Linked DNA regions of Drosophila melanogaster. The protein of the gene in region 1 interacts with the protein of each later gene in a pairwise test. Each region holds a gene or a part of one and is shown in the gene's direction. Other genes may lie near its edges.

Region 1 (5,877 bases):
GTCTGTGGATCTGCGGCACTAACAATTGTCATTGTTAAAGCCGAGCCAAGCTCACAGGAGCCAGCCAAGTTCAAGTCCACATGGCAAATGTGCCCCATCATGTCGGGCCATCCAGGTGCCATCCAGCTTCCACGGTGCCCCCTTAAAAAGTGAAGCTCCTCATCATCGCCAACGAAACAGGAACAAAATCAGAATCTCCCGAGGCAAAAGCTCCAACAGACGCTCCGAACAATGCAACATGATTCGCGAATTATAAACACCACGCGCTGATGCAAAGCAAACGGGAATGGGAACTACGAATAAAGAATACCCTAGATAGGATCGAACTAAAAGTTACTTAAGGATGTATGCATGTCTAGGTTTAACTTCTTAGGAATCGTAATGGCAATACCCTTTGTTTATGGCCCTGAGTACAACTAACGTAAAAATTGTTGGTAGTTTCTAGGAAATGAGATAAGTTAAGATTGTTTCTAGATTCATATTATTAATACTTAATAGCTAATGGTTATACCCTCTTGGAAAGAGTATCTCAACCATCATTTTCGTATATTTCTGGAGCAATATAATCGCTTGGCTGTCTGAAAATTAAGCAGCCGCCGCAGACAGACGACTACGGAGTTTCGCTGAAAGTCCCGTCCCGGTAATTGTGGCAAGTGGCGCGCCTCTTCTGGCTGCCGTTGCAGCTACTGCTTTCCACTTCACCATGGCAGCAGCAAGCTGCAAACAGCAACTGCAACTGCAACTGCAACTGCAAACTGCTAGCCGCAGCTAACAACGGCTCTACACAGAAGCCAAAACGTGTCGTCCTTTTGAGCCACTTGAAGTGCTGCCCCTTCAGCTGAAGAGTGTGTCTTGATGTTGCTGCCGCTACTGCTGCTGGTGTTGCAGTTGCGCTGCTGCAGCAGTTGTTGTCATCATCGTGGTACGTGTTGCAAAAGCAACAGCAGCCGCAGCGGCAACAACAGCCTCGTTTTTAATTAAACAATGTAAGCAGCAGAAGGCGAAGAAGAAGCTAAAAAAAAAATATATATATATATATAATACAAAAAGCCAGCCAAGTTCAAGTTGGCTTGTGTGTGAGTTATGAGTTGCGCAATCACGACTTCTTGTCTCTGCCCAAAAAACGCAGTCTTCCTCTTTTCGTACTGGCTGATTAAGTTTTAGAACAAATGAATTAAAAAACGTGCACTTACGTTTTTTTTTTTTTCCTGGCAGCGGCAACGGCTACCGATCGTGTTGGCTTGTCAGTACGGAGGTGTGAAGTAATTTGGCCAAAAGGGCTTACCTGATTTAACAGTGGCAGCTGTATTTCAGCCGCCGCCTGATCCTTTTGTGCCGTCCCGGTTTTTATGGCTATAGGAATTTCAGGCAGATGATGCTTGGAAAGTTCTCAACTTTTTCATTTTTATTTACCTGCAAATAATGCAAAGGAGATATGTATGTGAACAGCGTTTTAAGCTCCAACGATCTCTGTGTAAAGATAAAATATTGTAATTCATTTAAATGAACAAATCAGGCAGAGATCGAGGCTAAAAAGAACTGTCCACTTGGGAGTCAGGAAAAGTCAAAAGCCAACAGCCTCCACGGTAGATTGTTGTGATGTGATTACGTCAAAATTATTAAAACAGTCTCGAGTCCCTCATACATATACACATACATACACATACTTCGGTATGTCATGTTTCCCAATTCGTCTGCTGCCTTGATCGACACTGATCTCAGATAAGACAGTCAAACAGAGACCAACCAAAAAAAAAAAAAAAAGTATATTATAGCCGAAAAAAACGAATACCAGAGACAAGTGCATTTGCATCAGAGATATACCCCAACCCGTTTTCCAAATCTCGTGTGAAGCAACGTTTTCCCAAAAGAAGAAAACAGAGTCGCTGAGAATTCATAAACATCAGATTTGAGGTGTAGCCAACAAAGTTGTTGAAAAATATGAACAAATGAAAATATTTTCACCAACCGGGCCAAAATAGAAATGTGCATTATATCTACATTAAGAAGTTGGCTCCCCGCTCAAGATTGTCAGCATTGTCTGTTGCCCAGTTTTATGCTTTGACAGGCCATAGACGCACACAAGGCTGACAACAATGCCATTAGTCCCTGGACAAAAGCCAACCCAATGACAATTGACAACAGAGGGTATCCAAGAATTATCAATGGGAAACGCAGGGCAACTGTACAAGTTTGTCCGGGAAACGGTGTGAACCTTCTTCAACACTCACAAAAATTATTTAATAATTGTACTTAAGTCTATCCTAGCAAAATTTTACTAGATTTTAAAGGAAATCAAACTAAGAATGTACCTCAATTTTTGATATTTTTATATTTTACTTTCCTATATATGATTTTTTCAATTTATTATATGTTAAATATATTATTAACAAAGGTTTGTGATCTTATAACATTTACTTTTAACATATATATTCCTTGGACATACTTTAGTGAAAAGGATTCGCTTTTAATCGCTTCGACAGTTTTCATCAGCTACGTTTCTCCCTTAATATAAAGATAATTCTAACACTGTATCTTTAAAAGAAAATGTATTTCTTCGGATAATAAACTGTGCAGTTTCTTTTTCAGTGTCTTCTGTGATTGTGATTCCTCTAATCGCTCGCTAAGCTGCCAGACAAAAACACATGGCTTTGATTATTAGATCGTTGAAGCTCGCACAGAATCCATTCCATTCTATTCTATTCCATTTGGTGGGACTGTTCTTCGTTTACGATTCCTCTGCGAGAGTTGTTAGCATTTCCTAGAAGCCAAGCCAGGCAAAGCCGAATGCTGACCACGTTTTGTCCAACGCATCCGGCCAAGATTCTGGACTGGAACAGGGCAGTTGCTAGAGAAGTTGGCTGGGAACACGTCTGGGTTCGTGTAATATGCAAACTAGTGAGTCTCTCTAGCGATAACTGTACAGATAGGGTTTTTTTTCTGCAGCAACAACAACAGCGCAGGCTTACAAATTGCAGGCAGTATACGACGGCGCAATTTATGAGGACCGGCGCGATCATGGCGCGATCCTACAGATCAGGTAACTACAGGTAACTACTACTGAAAGCTGGCACAGCTGTTGCCAAAGGATTAGCCTGCAAAAGAGATAAGGACACTGGGTAATCCTTCCCCACTACTACCTGATTCACTCCCTCACTAAATGCACTACCTAAATTTGCATAAAAACTTAGATTCATCAAAACAAGAGCACATTCAACCAACAGCAGCCTTCGAGGAAGCAACACACAGCAGTCATCACATTTGACAGACAATACATACAATGTCGCAAATGCACAATACCGCATTCTACAAGGACGCTCTGGTTGCCCAGCAAAATAATACCTGTTCACCGATGGAGGAAATTGAACCGAACTACATCGACAACCTGCACATTATATTTTTCGAGCAGATTTTCGAAGAGATCGACAATCTGATCGATCAGGTACGCATGGCTAGGGCCTATCCACAGTTCATGCCACAGATTCTCAAGTTCTGGCAGAGGCGACTGCACCTGATCATCGGTCCAAATACACCATTCCTTGGACTCCTGGACATCGATGACTATGTCTTCTTTATGGAACACATGGCTGATAGCTTCACGGATCTGCACGTTCACGACGGCGTTGGTTCCTTTTCTGAATTCTACGACTATATCACACACCTGTGCGATATCAATATCACCAAGTTTCCCAAGGTGGACACTTGCATATTGGCGGGCAATCCCAACACAGTGGTCGATGAGGACATCCGCGACTTGACGGTAATGTTGCCCAATCTCAAGCGCCTAATGACCTGCATGAATCTATCTGGCTTATATATGCGTGGCTTCAAGAAGTTGGAGGAGCTGGTATTCAACTCCTTGTACCATTCGGTGCCATTGGATAGCCGCTGGATTCAGGATATCTGTCTGACAATGACCAATTTGAGAGTCCTTGACATTACCGATCAGTTCGACAGTTGTGTGAGACTCACAGACATCAAATTGCCCAATCTGGAAGTGCTAAAAATCAACTTGAGCACCGTAGAATGCATGCTATCGGAGGTGCTGCAGTTGCCCAAGTTACAGAAACTATCCGTGCGATTCGATGATTCGCGGCAATTGAACGCAGATCAGGAGACCATCTTCCAGCAGATTGTGGTGGCCAAAAGCGAAAGGATCACCCGAATTGCCCTGAACAACGAAGTGGTTCAATTGCCAGCTCGGTGGCAGCAAAGTTTGCTCCTCGAACTGCCCAAGCTGAGGAAGGTGATATGCGAGAATTGGTGCCACAATGATTTCTTCCTGGATCGCCAGCACATGCCCTGCCAACAAATGGAGGTGCTCAGCTTCAGTGGCTGGGAGATTGTGCGGGAGACTCAGCTCCTGGAACTGGTCGCCGAGTGCGTCAATCTGGAGCACTTGGCTCTGAACGGCTACCACAGCAACTGGGAGAAACTTACTAAGCTCGTGAATATTCGCAATCAGGAAAGGAATCCCAGACCACTGCAGGTGTTCAGCGACATGATGTGGGGCAACTTCACACCCGAGGAATATTATCACTGGCAGAGCAACAAATATGTTCAGGTCACCTGTGACAGCAGCGAATACGAATATCAGGAGGATGGTTTCGAGTTTGATTTTGAGTGAATAACAGCTCAACAATTTTACCAATTGTATATACTCCTAAACAAATATTTTTTTTCATGAATTTTGTAATTTTTTATATTTTCTATTGTATATAAATAAGACGCACTGGCTAAATCAAAAGCAACGCACATTTTCATTCTCAAACACTCCCCGATTGCAGGCAATTTTCCAAGAGGTCTCTCCTTCAACGGCAAACATTTATTTATTTCGCATTGCAGCGCTTTAGGGTCTGGCAAATGGAAAAATCAACACACTTTATGGCCAGCGAAAAGATTTAACTGTGCTTTGGGCCCCAAGTTGCCGTCATGGCTTCTTGGACTCTCCTCACATGTGGCATGACCTCCACTCACATGGCCAGTTAATTTCGCGAGGCATAAATTATTTGATTTGATTGAGTCGGAAAATGAGTTCGCAAAGTGCCCAAAGCTCTTTGCCGACTGTCCGGCTCAGTTCCCCGATCACCGAAACTCCTGACCATTGGCCAACTGGCCAAAAGAAGTGAAGTTTGGCATGGCATTGGGGATTTGGCTCTCTTACTTCAGGGTTGGCGCAATACAACTGCTTTCAAATAAGCTAGATTATAGATGTTTAACTATAATTTGTGTGTAATTGTTAATATTTTGGTTATTCCATAATGAATATGTAAACTTTGTTTTATGAGGTTTCCGATCGGAAAGGATAATCACAGGGTAGTCTAGCCTTCTGGATTATAACATAATATCCCATAACATATCTACTATAAACGATAACTATCCCATGCGTACTTGCACGTGAAGGAAATTAAGCAATTTTGAAAAAATGTGCGCCTGGCTGAATGATTTACATAACTTTTCTCTTCGAAAAAAAATATGGCTTTTGGGAAAAAGAGCATAGTTTTGCTTTCGTTTTCCAACATTACGTGAGCCGATCGCGTCTGTCGGCCTAAATTATTGGCCGCACTGGCAAGTCAACACAAAGTGGGGTCCGGACTAATTTGTGGCCCCCATCGCCCCATCAAGAGATTAAAATGCAAACGAGGGCAGTCAGTTGGCTCTGGGCGACTCGGCGACGACAGTTTGAAGTGGACAAAATTTAGAAATAATGGACTATTAATTTATGGCCAACGGAGGAGACCAGAGATCGACTGACCAACTGACCGACCAACTGGCGTAGTTGCCATTTCCAAACGTTTTTTTTTTTTTTGGGGGGGATAGACCTTTTTTTTGGCTATCGACTTGTGTTAGCCGCATATCTATTGGTTTTTCATTAAT
Region 2 (5,324 bases), 5.6 Mb from region 1:
CTCTCTTTACTTTTCACTCGAAAATCAGCCACCAAATGCTGGCTTTAACACTAACATGGGCCAATAGGTGCAAACGGACCCGCTTTACTTCTTATTAATTTCGTTTAAGGTGAAGCTACCGTGAGTCACGTTTACTTTTAACTTCAGTTAATTGCGTTTAAAATACATCGAGAACTCATCGCATGTATTTTTAGACCATGTGCAAAACTTTCACTTTGCCGAAAAAAAATCAATCAAAGTAGATAGATAAGATTTTCGCAAAATTTTAATTAACGACGAGAATATTTATGGGCTCTTTGTAAGCACTTATTATTAGTAGTTGACCAAAGTTTCCTCAAGGGTTAAGTTTGCGGCCCAATGCGTTTTCGGCAAACTAAACAAGATCAACAAAAAAAAAAAGACAACAATAAAATACGACTGGCACGGCTTCATTGGTTTTGCGGTTAAAATGTTGCAACAAGAACTGGCAATGCCACAAAACTTTGAAGACTAAAAAACGCAGTAAAAAATATGAGTCGAAGCTTAAATACACTTGGTAGTTATAAAAAACTATTGAAGCTACGTTGATGTGAAAAAAGTTCTTATACAAAGGTTTTTCTTTATTTGAAAGAAACTTTCATTTTAAAATTTGGTTAGCTGAACTATGAAATCTGTTGCTTCAATTTCACAAGGTTCGCCTGGCAGAACCTATAATAAACCCATAATCATTGTTCTGCCCACTTTTGCCTAGACTAATAATACCCCTTTTATATCGCCATCAAAACCACGAAACAACGGCGAAAAACTGGCGAATCTATAAAAATGCAAATTAGAAGAAGCGAAAAAATAACACAACAAACGACTCCAGAAACTGGAACGAACTAAGACGGCAATTTCAGACTATGACTGCAACTCCAACTCAAACTCCGATTTGGATTCAGATCGAGGGGCCGTCGATAAACGTTACTCGTGCTATTGCCTCTGGGCCACAAAAGCGTTGGCGTCCAGTCTCTGTGATCCATGGACTGGCCAGCCCAGTTGGCCAAGAAGCGATTTGGGTTAACTGCAGCTGCAACACGCCGACGATCGGGAAACTCGGGCCAACTAATTGTGCGGAAATCTGCGAGACGCGTCATAAATACTGTCGCTTTTCTCATCTCTCTTTCAGCAGAGCGGTCTTTGATGGGAAGTTGCAGCTCCGCGATGTTCAGTGGTTGCATTTGCACCTGCACATTAAACAATAAGAAGAGATGCACCGAAAAAAAAATGCTAGTGTTAGTTAAAAAGTTAGTTAGGTTCAGTGCTAAAATAGTGGAATGTAGCTCAGAACCAAGTTAAATAGTTTACAATAGTTTATCAATATCCCAATGCACATGTTAATATCTAAAAAATTGCATTAATATATAATAAAATATTATAAAAAAAATATAATAAAATTCAGCGATATGCAGCCAATTAATATTTGCTAGCAATCACTTGACGATCGATCTTTCACCAAATTGCATGCAACATGGTTGGTAGAAAGGATACACTGAATATTCATGTAAAACCGACCATGTTGATAGAAATTACATATGCATGGGAAAATATGAAAAGTGATGTAACTCGGATTGGCTCCACATCTAGTTGGATCCCTTTCCATTTTTTTTTTTTTTTTTTTTTTTTTTGCCGTGCACTTAGCCGGAGGCATTCTTGCGTGCAAACCTTGACCATGAAAAACACGCTCCGCGATGCGATGCGATGCGATGACGTGCCCATAAAAGTGCTGGCCAACAATCCCAAACATTTTCCTGGCCAATTAAGAGCCAAAGAAAATTAGTAAGAAATTGAAATTGCTCAACGGCCACGTTTGCGATCACGTTTAGGCCGCTTGGTGGCGATGGTCAATGGCATTCGGCCGGCAACTTGTGCGACAGTTACATCTATATATGCGCCACAAACAACTGGTTTGCGGGCCAAAATAAAAAACAAAACAAAAAAAAAGACTACATAATAATATACAAAGCAAAAACACCGTTTTGGACCGGCCTCCAAGGGGCACGCTAGCCAAATGGAGCCATTGCCGGTCTGTCAATTAGCAACCAGGCGACATGGCGGTGCACTGAACTTGTTACGCTTAAATTGTTGATAAGCCCACAACACTCATTATGATTGCCACTGGCCAGCGAAAATGTGGCAATCGCACCGTTTTGGCCATTAACCCATTTTTCGGTCCGGTTCTAAAGTTATTCCGTATGACTTAATTCAGGTTTTAGTTTCTACATGCTATAGGTATTATACCTTATATTAGTTGCGTAGTCATGCCTTTAATAGAATTATCTGGCAATAATCAATTATTAATTAATAGCTAAATTTACTCGCTGAGCATTTTAATTCAATTAGTTCAATTGCTGGCATTATTTAATTAGTACCACCATTTGATAACTCGCTGCACTTGACTTTGCATGCTATTAAGTTATTTTATTTACGCTGCAAACGATAAGTAAATTTATTAAGTAATTTTCAGTTCTGCTGTTTAACTTGTTTTAACCAGCATTCATTTATTTTAGGTATTTGTTTCGCTTGAAGAGAAATAATACCTATTTGCATTCGCTCTGGACAAAGCTCTTAAATCTTAAAAACATACTATTAACATATAAATATGTACATACATATATGCAAACATTTTAATAAACATTATTAGCTCCTGCCTTATCTGAAGTCCAAGAGTTCAATGGGTTAAGCCGCAGCCGTATGCCAGTTCTCTCTGATTAGAGACCAGAGATTAGAGATATATGGCCAGTTGATGCTACGATATTTGCGCAGAGCAATTGTTCGTTCGATGGCGGGAGAAATGGGAGAGAAAGAACAAATATATAATATATATATATATATACATACACGTATATATATATATATATAGGAGGCGAGCGTGTATTTGTGTGAATGTCACAGATGTGCGTGATTGTTTCCATGGAGCGGCGCAAGTGAAATGGGCAAGTTGAAAAGAGCAGTTGTGTTTGGTTTGTGAGGCTGCCAAGAGCGAAAAACGAACGCGGACAATGAATAAAATATTTGGGCTACTGTTTACCCTGTGTCTGCTGCTCGTTTGGCCCACGCCCGGAAATGGCCAGTCCCCGGATGAGTCCCGGCTCCTGGTGGCCATTCACTACGAGGCCCTGTGCCCGGACAGCATGAGCTTCATCCGGCGCAGATTGTACGATGCTCTGCAGGACAACGACTGGTGGTCGGTCACCGATCTAAAGCTATATCCATTTGGCAAGGCGGGGGTGAGTCAGCTAAGATCAAAATGATAGAATTCTTATGCATACTATAGTCATTTCTTTAGTACTCATTTCGAATTCATTAGCAGTTCATTTCGAAAACCATTTGTATTTACATTAAAAAAAAAACAGCAATAAACTGAAATACACACACACAATTTGTTTGTAGATCGTGAAATAGTTCATGTTTTTTGAGGTTTTAAACCAGAATTTGTTACGTGCAGTTCTACAACAACACATCCACTGGCGAGAGCCAAGTATTTTGTCAGCATGGCGTGGATGAGTGCGAACTAAATGCACTCCATGCCTGCATTATTGAGACCCTGGACATTCGGAAGGCCTTCAATCTGATCTACTGCATGCTGCGCTCCTATTCGAATGAGCTGGGCCCGTGCTCGAGGAGCATGGGTGTGGACGTCAGCAAGGCCAGGGAGTGTAAGGCATCCCGAACCACGGCAGAAATACTGGCGCCCTACGGCAAGGAAACCCTTAAACTGGGCATCTCCTTTGTGCCCACCATTGTGTTCGAGAATGTGAGTAACCAACCCAACCAGGCTTACATGATCAAATACCAGACTTAACTTAACATTACCCTCTGATCCGCAGGACTTTGATCCTTACGACCAGAGAAGCATTCGCAACAACTTCGAAAGACACTTCTGTCGGCAGTATCTGAAAAAGTTCAACATCAAACTGCCCACTTGTTCCGCAATTTTGTAAACTTTTATGTAATGTACTGAGTAATTTAACTGTTTCAATGTTCCAAGACCAATAAACAATAATTATAACCAACTGGAGTGTTTGCTTACTCGCTGACTCACTTGGGGCCAATAAAAATTTACATGTGTATAGTATATACATATCAGCTTATCAGTCATGTTTTTGTATACAGATTCTAATCAGAAACAGCTGTCTGGTGGTCTAAAAATAAGATTAAAACCCCGCTGCTCAGTAAGTTTTCCGTAGTCAGCGCATAAATGTAAAGGGGAAAATGCTGGTTGACAGCAGGGGCGTCGAATTGGTTGGCTAGTCACACCCTTTATCTATATATTTATATTAATTTTTTCAAAAGCGGATATATTACAGAAAAATTATAAAAAACAAGCGAAAAGTCACCCTACTATTGCAATACAAATAATTATTTTTTTTTTAACTTATATGATTTTTGAGCCCCCCTTGAGCATTTTCTAACCACGCCACTGGCCGCTTCGAATTTGACGAAACGCAGTGACAACGCTGCGCATTACAAGTCCCGGAATTATTTCAGTGTCGAGCGTTCGCTGGCGTTGAGCGGCCGAATATTTCAAGATCAGCTCGGGATTAAACTGAATTTGCCATGAGGGCGGCTGTCTTTGTGTGTCTGCTGCTGGGATGGGTGGGCGTGGCCACGCCAAGGGTAAGTGACCCAGTTGATCGGACTGAATCCCGAATTGCGACGCTCCCATTGATCGTGACTTTGCAGCGTTTGCGCGGACCGCAAGCTGACCGACTGGCGATCACCCTGTACTACGAAGCATTGTGTCCCTACTGCATGGAGTTCGTGACCACGCAGCTCAATCCCTCGATGGTCCGTCAGGATCGACTTCCATTCACTGATCTTACGCTGGTTCCTTATGGAAATGCCAGGGTAGGTTTCATTTTTCGTAGCTTAAACTAGTAGTTATAGTACAAGTACATAGTATAGCTCAATTTGAAGTTTTAGAGTGTCAATCAGCGTTAATCCGCACTTAAACTTCGCTTAATCCCCTCCAGACGAACGATGACGGAAATGTGGAGTGCCAGCACGGAGTGATGGAGTGCGAATTGAACGCGTGGCACGCCTGCATACTGGAGCACCATGACATTGCCCAATCCCTCAAGCTGATCGCCTGCATGATGAGGGGTAAGAAGAACAGGCTGGAAAAGTGCGCTGACCACTATCAAATCGACGTGGGCGATGTCAAAAATTGCAAGAAAACGCGACAGGTGAACGACATTCTGAGGAAGTACGGCAAGGAAACGGCCAAGGTCTCATTTCAGGGAGTGCCAGCCGTAGCTCTGGATAACGTGAGTTTAAATGCGAAAGAAATTCATGAAATCTAA
Region 3 (6,790 bases), on another chromosome or scaffold:
GATACCCGTGGAAACCCTGCCAGCTACTGTGCAAGTGGTGCCCACAGGCAGCAACGAACTGGCCTGCGCCGCCATTTCCCACAAGCTGGGAGCCATTGCCGAGGTAGCCGAGTCCCTGGACGCAGTCATCCGGGATGTCCAGCAGCAGGAGGGCGTTGTTAGCAATGGAATCAGCAATGTCACTGGAGGACATGGCATAAAAAAATTGGGAAGCATTGAGGTAAGTTTAAATAATAAAAATGTTGATTCTTTTTCCGTTTGTGTAAAATGGTACTAATCTCGTCGCTTTAGGATTGGCAATCGCGCTCCACCGAGGACGAATCCTTCGCCACTGCCTCCGAAGGCAACTTTACGCCGAACTCGCATTCCTCATCCTTTCAAACAGCCTCAGGACGCACTAGCTCCTACATAGGATCGGCCAAGAACTCCTTCGATGAGGCGGACGACTCAACTTTAAGCACATTCGAAATACCCGAACTACCACCTTCGCCAGTCAATATGTCCTTTGATAGCTCCGAAATGAGCTACTTCTCCGACCGTCAGCAGAGGATGAAAAGTGAAGATCAGGACAGTGTGGCGGGCATGGCAGAGCTGCATAGTCAGAGTGTAACGCCCACTCCGGACGAGGAGCAGCAACACCTGCTTCTGCCACTACCATTGCCGCAGGCCATCGAATCGGACAGCGAGGTGGAAGGATTCAATTTGGCCACTGGCATTACGACGGAGCTGGCGCCCAGGATGTCCAACGCCCACACGCCGGAGGTGAGCTACACATCGGCCAATAACACCGCTCCGGCTTCAACTAACCCCAACGAATCGAAACCGCCGCCTTCTTGGCGACGCAGCAAATACTACGAGAACATAACGAAACAGACGATCAAGGGATTTCTCTGAGAGATCTGGACAAGCTGTCCCAGTTGAAAGATGAACACAAAACGATTTCCCGCCCAATTAACCAGCGCCATTTGCTTCTCTGCCGATCCTCGACATTCTTGCCATTAATTAGTTGGCATACTATTTTTGCTGTTTTCCCAAAACCAATTTTAGCCCATGAGCTAAAAGTTTTTGTCTTTTTTATTTTGTTTGCCATTTTACTTTGCATGATTGTTCACTGTTTTCTACCAAAATTTATTAGTTCGATTGAACTTTAGCTTAAAAGATATACTAAAATGCCTGCGCAAAAGGTTTTTAAATATTTTATGTTTGAAAAATGTCTTTTGCTTATACTTTCTCTGCTTTAAATATAGTAGTAGAAATATTTATTTAGTTAGTTCAAATTAAGTCTAAGGCTTGCAAAAATTAGAGAATTCCCAAATGGTTAGAAAATATATTTAAAGTAAGAATTTAAATTCACTTACGGCCAGTCGAAATTTTTGCCATTAATCATATGTTTAATATTTATTTATAACTATTTCTCCCACACAGTCACAGTCACAAAACATAGTGCAATTAATATCGAACATGTTTTACCCCAAAAATAAAGCTAATCATTTATAATTTTTTTCAATACCTCCTAACTTTTCAGGTATTTAGTTTTAAATTTTATGCTTAAGCAAGTAAGTAACTCGTAACTGCAAAATTTGAATGTAATCTCGAAAATCCATGAAAACATTGCATAACTTTGGGCTGCATCCGTGAAAAGTCATTGCCATCATCTGCACTTAACCCTTGAGTGCTCTTTTGGACTTTTCCACCCTAAATAATTTTTTTCAATTTCCCTCTGTGGGTGGCCCTTTCCCCCAAACATTTAACAAGTGGTCCTCAAGTGATTTCAATTATCTGAAATGTGAACTGGCAGTGGGTGCAGCGGGGAAATGGGGTTAAGAGGGGTTGGCTGCTTTTGTGAGCTTCGTCAAGTGGCTCATTAATCTCAATTAAAAAACATATAAATAAATCGCTCTGAGTGTGGTGAGTGAGTGAAAAGAGTTTATACTTAACGAGCTGATCATCCAGAAAGGCGAACCAAATATCTATGAGATTCTTTTCATGCCATTCGACCAGATTTTCTGACGTGCCGGCGCTGAAAGCATAATTCGATAAGTTCGAATCGTTGATAGCGAAAAATAATAACACACATCTGCAGCGCATTGATTGCCGCAACTGCTGTTGCACGCAAGAAGCGTCGGATGTTGCACGTTGAATATTGCACGAAATCCGGAGCCAAAGCCAAAGCTGCAAGACACGCATTTTGGGTGAAAAATACTTCATAAATTGGGGTATAGAGCATCATGGGTGGTGAGGGGATTTAAATGCGGGCGGTCAGTCAGTTTGCCTTGCATTAAGACACGATATCGTCTGGTTTCCTCCGCTGCTCTGGTGTTGTTATTTTGATCTTCCACTCTTCACCATGTTATTAAAGTACAAAAGCTGCACTTGAATATGTTGTGGTTTAAGGTACCTCGTCTTATATGGGGTGTATAAGACCAACGAGGAAAAGGTCTAGCCAAGGGGAAAAATCATCCACACATAAGATGTTAAGTTAGATGAATATTCAAAAGTAAATGCGAATAAATAAAGTGAGGGCATAAGAGGGTAGCAACAGTTCGCTTAAAGTTACCCTTTATCATCAGAATTACAGGGTACAAGCTCGCTTCATATCGCTTTACCTTCTCTTCGTATTGTAATTGCTGAAAAGCCGGGCGCAGGGCATTAAAAATTGAAATCATGAATTAACGACGCCGCGAATGCCAAGAGCACTTGTTTATTTATGTCGTCTCCCCTGAAGCCCCGCATCTTGCCTCTTTCTCTAGCGTCTAGCGTCTCCAGCCCTCTCTTTCACACTCTCTCATTTTCAAAATACAAGCCGGCTTTTCAAAACTGAGCTTAGCCAGTGTCAAGAGATCAAAACAAGAGAACCGCTACCTGCATGAATGAATTGAGCGAATCGGTTAAGTTTCATGGGCTGCACGCTCTTTATCTCTTTCTGATCGGCTGTCTCCCGTAGAATCTGCTCAGTCTTCGGTCTCCGGTCTTCAGTCTTCCGATCATTTAGTCAGTCTTGTTCGAAGTTCGCGGCGTTCGGTTGTTCGGCTGTTGGGAAAGCGGCGCGCGCGTTTTGATTTTCCACATCTCCACCGCTCGAATATAATGTGCGAATAAAAACATATCTATGTAAATTAAGTTAGGCAGAAAACGAGGAAGAAAACAATAAATTTGGCACTTCAAAAAAAAAGCGAAATGAAACGTAAATTAATCAGCCATAATTTACCTAGAACATTTTTGACATTCAAAAATGCTTGGCGCTAGTTTTTTTTGCGTTCACTCGTCTAAAGATGAAATCAACAATCTGTGCTAAATTTATTGTTGTTGTCGAATATTCAGTTTTGTGACGACCCTCAGAAAGCACAAACAAAATGTTTAACAAATAGAAAACGACACAGAATGCGCGAAAAAAATATTTTTCAAAAATATTCGGTGACCTGATGCATTGAAAGCTTATTTGTTTGAGTCATGTGCATATTTCAATATACTACAACAGTCCACGCCCCAGAAAATTTCAATCAACAATTTTCCATTTTTTTTTCTTTTAAATTTTTTGGACAACAACATATGGAGGCAAAGCATTTCCTCGATTGCGCTACTGTAAACTTTTATAAAGGGAACTTGTTCTTCCCAATTTTTGGTTTGCTGCTTATTTTTAGACAGCGCAAAGTACAATTAAAATAGTTTACATTACGCCAGCAACGGCGGCGACTATTAAAAATTGAGAGAAACACCAAAAATTACCTAATGGAGGCAGCTGGCTGCACACGAGCATACGCGGCGTATGCGTAATGTATTCAAAAATATCGAAAAATCCATGAAAAATGACTGACTGGCGACGACTTCTGCCAATGCAATTGGCACATGTTACAGATTTGACGAACATCCGCGCGCTTTATCTATTAGCTATAGTAGCCTGTATCTGTAGCATCGCAGTATCTGAGTATCTGGGCTAGAACAACAGTTTAGCTTCGTGGCAGAAATCGCCGCAAAAAATTACTCAATAGTTTGTTGTTTTAAAAATAAACGCGAATCGAGCATTGTCTTTGAGTTTTGGCGGGGCGGGGGGCTACCGAGGTTCTACAACGAGACTAGCACACGCATCAAAGGCAATTTTCTCAGGCTCAATATGCAAAAAGTACACACGATTCTCTCGGCTATATAGCCGTATATATAGACACTACGGAATAATAAACAGACACTAGAGCGACAGGGAGAGCGCGAGTATGAAGTCATAGTCATCGCGGCGGGCAAAAAGAATTCTCCGTTTCGAAAATCTACCGATTCGCGGAGGTTCTCAGACGATCGCCGGCGTTGATAGCGCTCGCAACGAAACGAAGGAACCGCCGAATCGAATCCCCTGGCTATAACTAATCCCAATAAATTAAATCCGAACGCGAGTGACTCAATCTAATAGTTCCACTTTTTCGAGCAGAGTTCAAAATGCAAAACACGAGACACAAGCAGGGGAAGTAAGCCAAAATACGAGAAAAACTAAACGACAGAGATTATAAAACGCCCACGCAAAACACACCAAACTACAAGCACTCACTCAATCCTCGAAAGTTAGTCAAAAAAAAAGAAAACAGAGAGAAGTAGAGACGAGCAGATAGAAAGAAAAGCAACCATGGAACGCCGCCAAGCCCTAGACTCATCGATGTCTTCGCTCTACTCGGTCGCCTCCTCCTCGAATCCCAATCCCCGCCAGCCGCACACCGGCCACCAACTTCAGACGCAGCAATCCCAGCAATCTCAGCAGTCCCAGCTAGACGCCTTCAATTATTCAGCAACAATGTCATCATCGTCGCCGACTCCAAGTCAGGCCATGTCCACAGCCATGTCCACGGGCACGGGCACCGGCACCGGCACCACCCACACCACACCACCATCCTCCTCCTCCCTGAGAGCCACCACCATTGGCACCGTTGTCGTCCGATGCGGACCCATCCAGCTGGTGATAGCGCTCCTACAAGTGAGTTGTACTCTTGTACCCCGCAAACAATAAAAATAGTAAACTAAAAAACGAAACGAATCCAAACAAAAAACACACAGCAAAAAGGCCAAGAAATGGGAAACAAACATGAAGAAACATTTATCTAGATACGGGAGAAGTGTTCGGAGAAAGCTCTTGAAGTGCGCGGAAATTTATGCGGAAGGCGATCTGGGAGGACTTCAAAAGAGATTTGGGACGGGGCATTGGGAGATCTTGAATAAATCATAAATCTAGAAGTGCAGTCAGGTTTCGAAAACACGGGGAAACATCTAGGATAAGCTGTGGTCATTGAAACATCTTATGAAAAAAGTTGCATTCGACTCAGTTTTATGTGAAGCTATAAAAATCCATAACAACCAATTAAGCCAGTCTAAATATATTAACCTTTTTTTTCAATATAAATGAGCTTATCATTTGAATGACGACATAATCTTTGTTCATTATTAATGACAGTGCAATTATATATTTACATTTTTTTCATTTTGCGTAGTGGGGCAAAAACAGTCTGAGAGATGTAAAGCAAAGAAAATAGTTCAATAGATACATTATCTCAGATTGTTATCAAATCATTTTTCAATCAATTTATCACTATAAAACAACGTTCGACTATTATTAAATGGCCCAGCCTCCAACCAAGCAAATGTTCACTACCAATCGGTCGACATTAATTGATAAATTTCTATAATTATCCCATAGCTAGCCCCTTCGGATCTGAGGCAAAACTATGTGACTTTAGCACTGAAAAATTCATGAACTTCTAATGCCCAAAACTGGCTTACAATTTTCGATTGTTTAAACCGGCTTCCAGCGATTTCCGCGCCAATTAGCACTCGAACAACGAAAGCAAAAGTTGTTGATAGCGGTTATAAATATTTGAAAAACGGCAGCAGAAAAACAAACGCCACAAAAGGTTCAAGGTTGTCTGACATCAGAGCAAAGACACAAAAGCCAACTAAACGTGACAAAAAGAAATGTATCTGCCAGATACTTTCGACAATTAGGCGCAGCTGCTACCTGTCTGGGTCCATTTCGAGCTGGCAGAATCAGTTTCTTCAGAGAGAAACTTTGTTTGGGTCTTCTCCGCAGATTTGCCCCCTTTTCCAACCCCTCCAAATCGCTCGAACTTGAAGATGCGACTTGAACTTGAGATTGAGAAACATTTCTGATGAAGCGCTACAAGTTTTATGCCCCGAAACAAAAAACATTCAATAATTATGGGCATCGGTGAATGGTTTATGGGCTTTTGCGGCAAGGGGCAAGGGGACTGTGCCCCTTTTTGCACCACCTTTTCTGTTCATTCAACCAACGGATCATTGAAATTTCGGTGTGCCACTTTGTGCCATTTTTTTTTTTTTTTTGCTGGCCATCAGAATAACTATTTTTGCTTCATATGCCATTCGAGACTCACGGCTCCATGTGTTAAACATTTGATTTGATTTACAACTTTTTCCCCCCTCCACTTTTGATTCTGAAAATTATGCAAAAACATTTTACTGACGAGCCTTTCAACACGTTTCTGTTGTATACGTGTACTCGTGTTTCCATGAATTGAAAACTCGCGACCCCAAAAATATACAGATTTCTTTAAATTTCCGCTGGCCTGCTTGGAAACAGTATTGAAATTCAAAAACGAAACTAAATAATTGCTTACCTGTCGTTGTTTTCGTTATTCTCGAACTGGTCCCAAAAATGCTGTTGAAAATAAACAAGAGCGATTTCTCTCCCCGGTTCTCGCAGGTAAACAAATTAGCAACGGAACAGAGCCAAAAAAAAAGCTGAAATAAGAATAACAAAAGTGTACAAATAAATACACAA

What was found. The genes of interacting proteins can lie anywhere in the genome.
Region 2: the proteins of bard (region 1) and GILT3 interact in a two-hybrid assay, tested with the Drosophila melanogaster proteins (one large-scale study listed by BioGRID).
Region 3: the proteins of bard (region 1) and zormin interact in a two-hybrid assay, tested with the Drosophila melanogaster proteins (one large-scale study listed by BioGRID).

Annotation. Positions count from the first base shown.
Region 1 is NT_033777.3:18,077,841-18,083,717, forward strand, and holds bard (bard), read left to right. Parts: upstream 1-3,207; 5' UTR 3,208-3,280; coding exon 3,281-4,627; 3' UTR 4,628-4,743; downstream 4,744-5,877.
Region 2 is NT_033777.3:23,674,390-23,679,713, forward strand, and holds GILT3 (Gamma-interferon-inducible lysosomal thiol reductase 3), read left to right. Parts: upstream 1-2,968; 5' UTR 2,969-3,020; coding exon 3,021-3,248; intron 3,249-3,466; coding exon 3,467-3,775; intron 3,776-3,848; coding exon 3,849-3,962; 3' UTR 3,963-4,032; downstream 4,033-5,324. Other genes in the region: GILT2 (Gamma-interferon-inducible lysosomal thiol reductase 2), read left to right, coding at 4,579-4,638, 4,705-4,869, 4,995-5,288.
Region 3 is NT_037436.4:2,147,909-2,154,698, reverse strand, and holds the start of zormin (zormin), read left to right. Parts: upstream 1-2,998; 5' UTR 2,999-3,089; intron 3,090-4,417; 5' UTR 4,418-4,609; coding exon 4,610-4,954; intron 4,955-6,790. Other genes in the region: CG15822 (uncharacterized protein), read left to right, coding at 1-220, 292-894.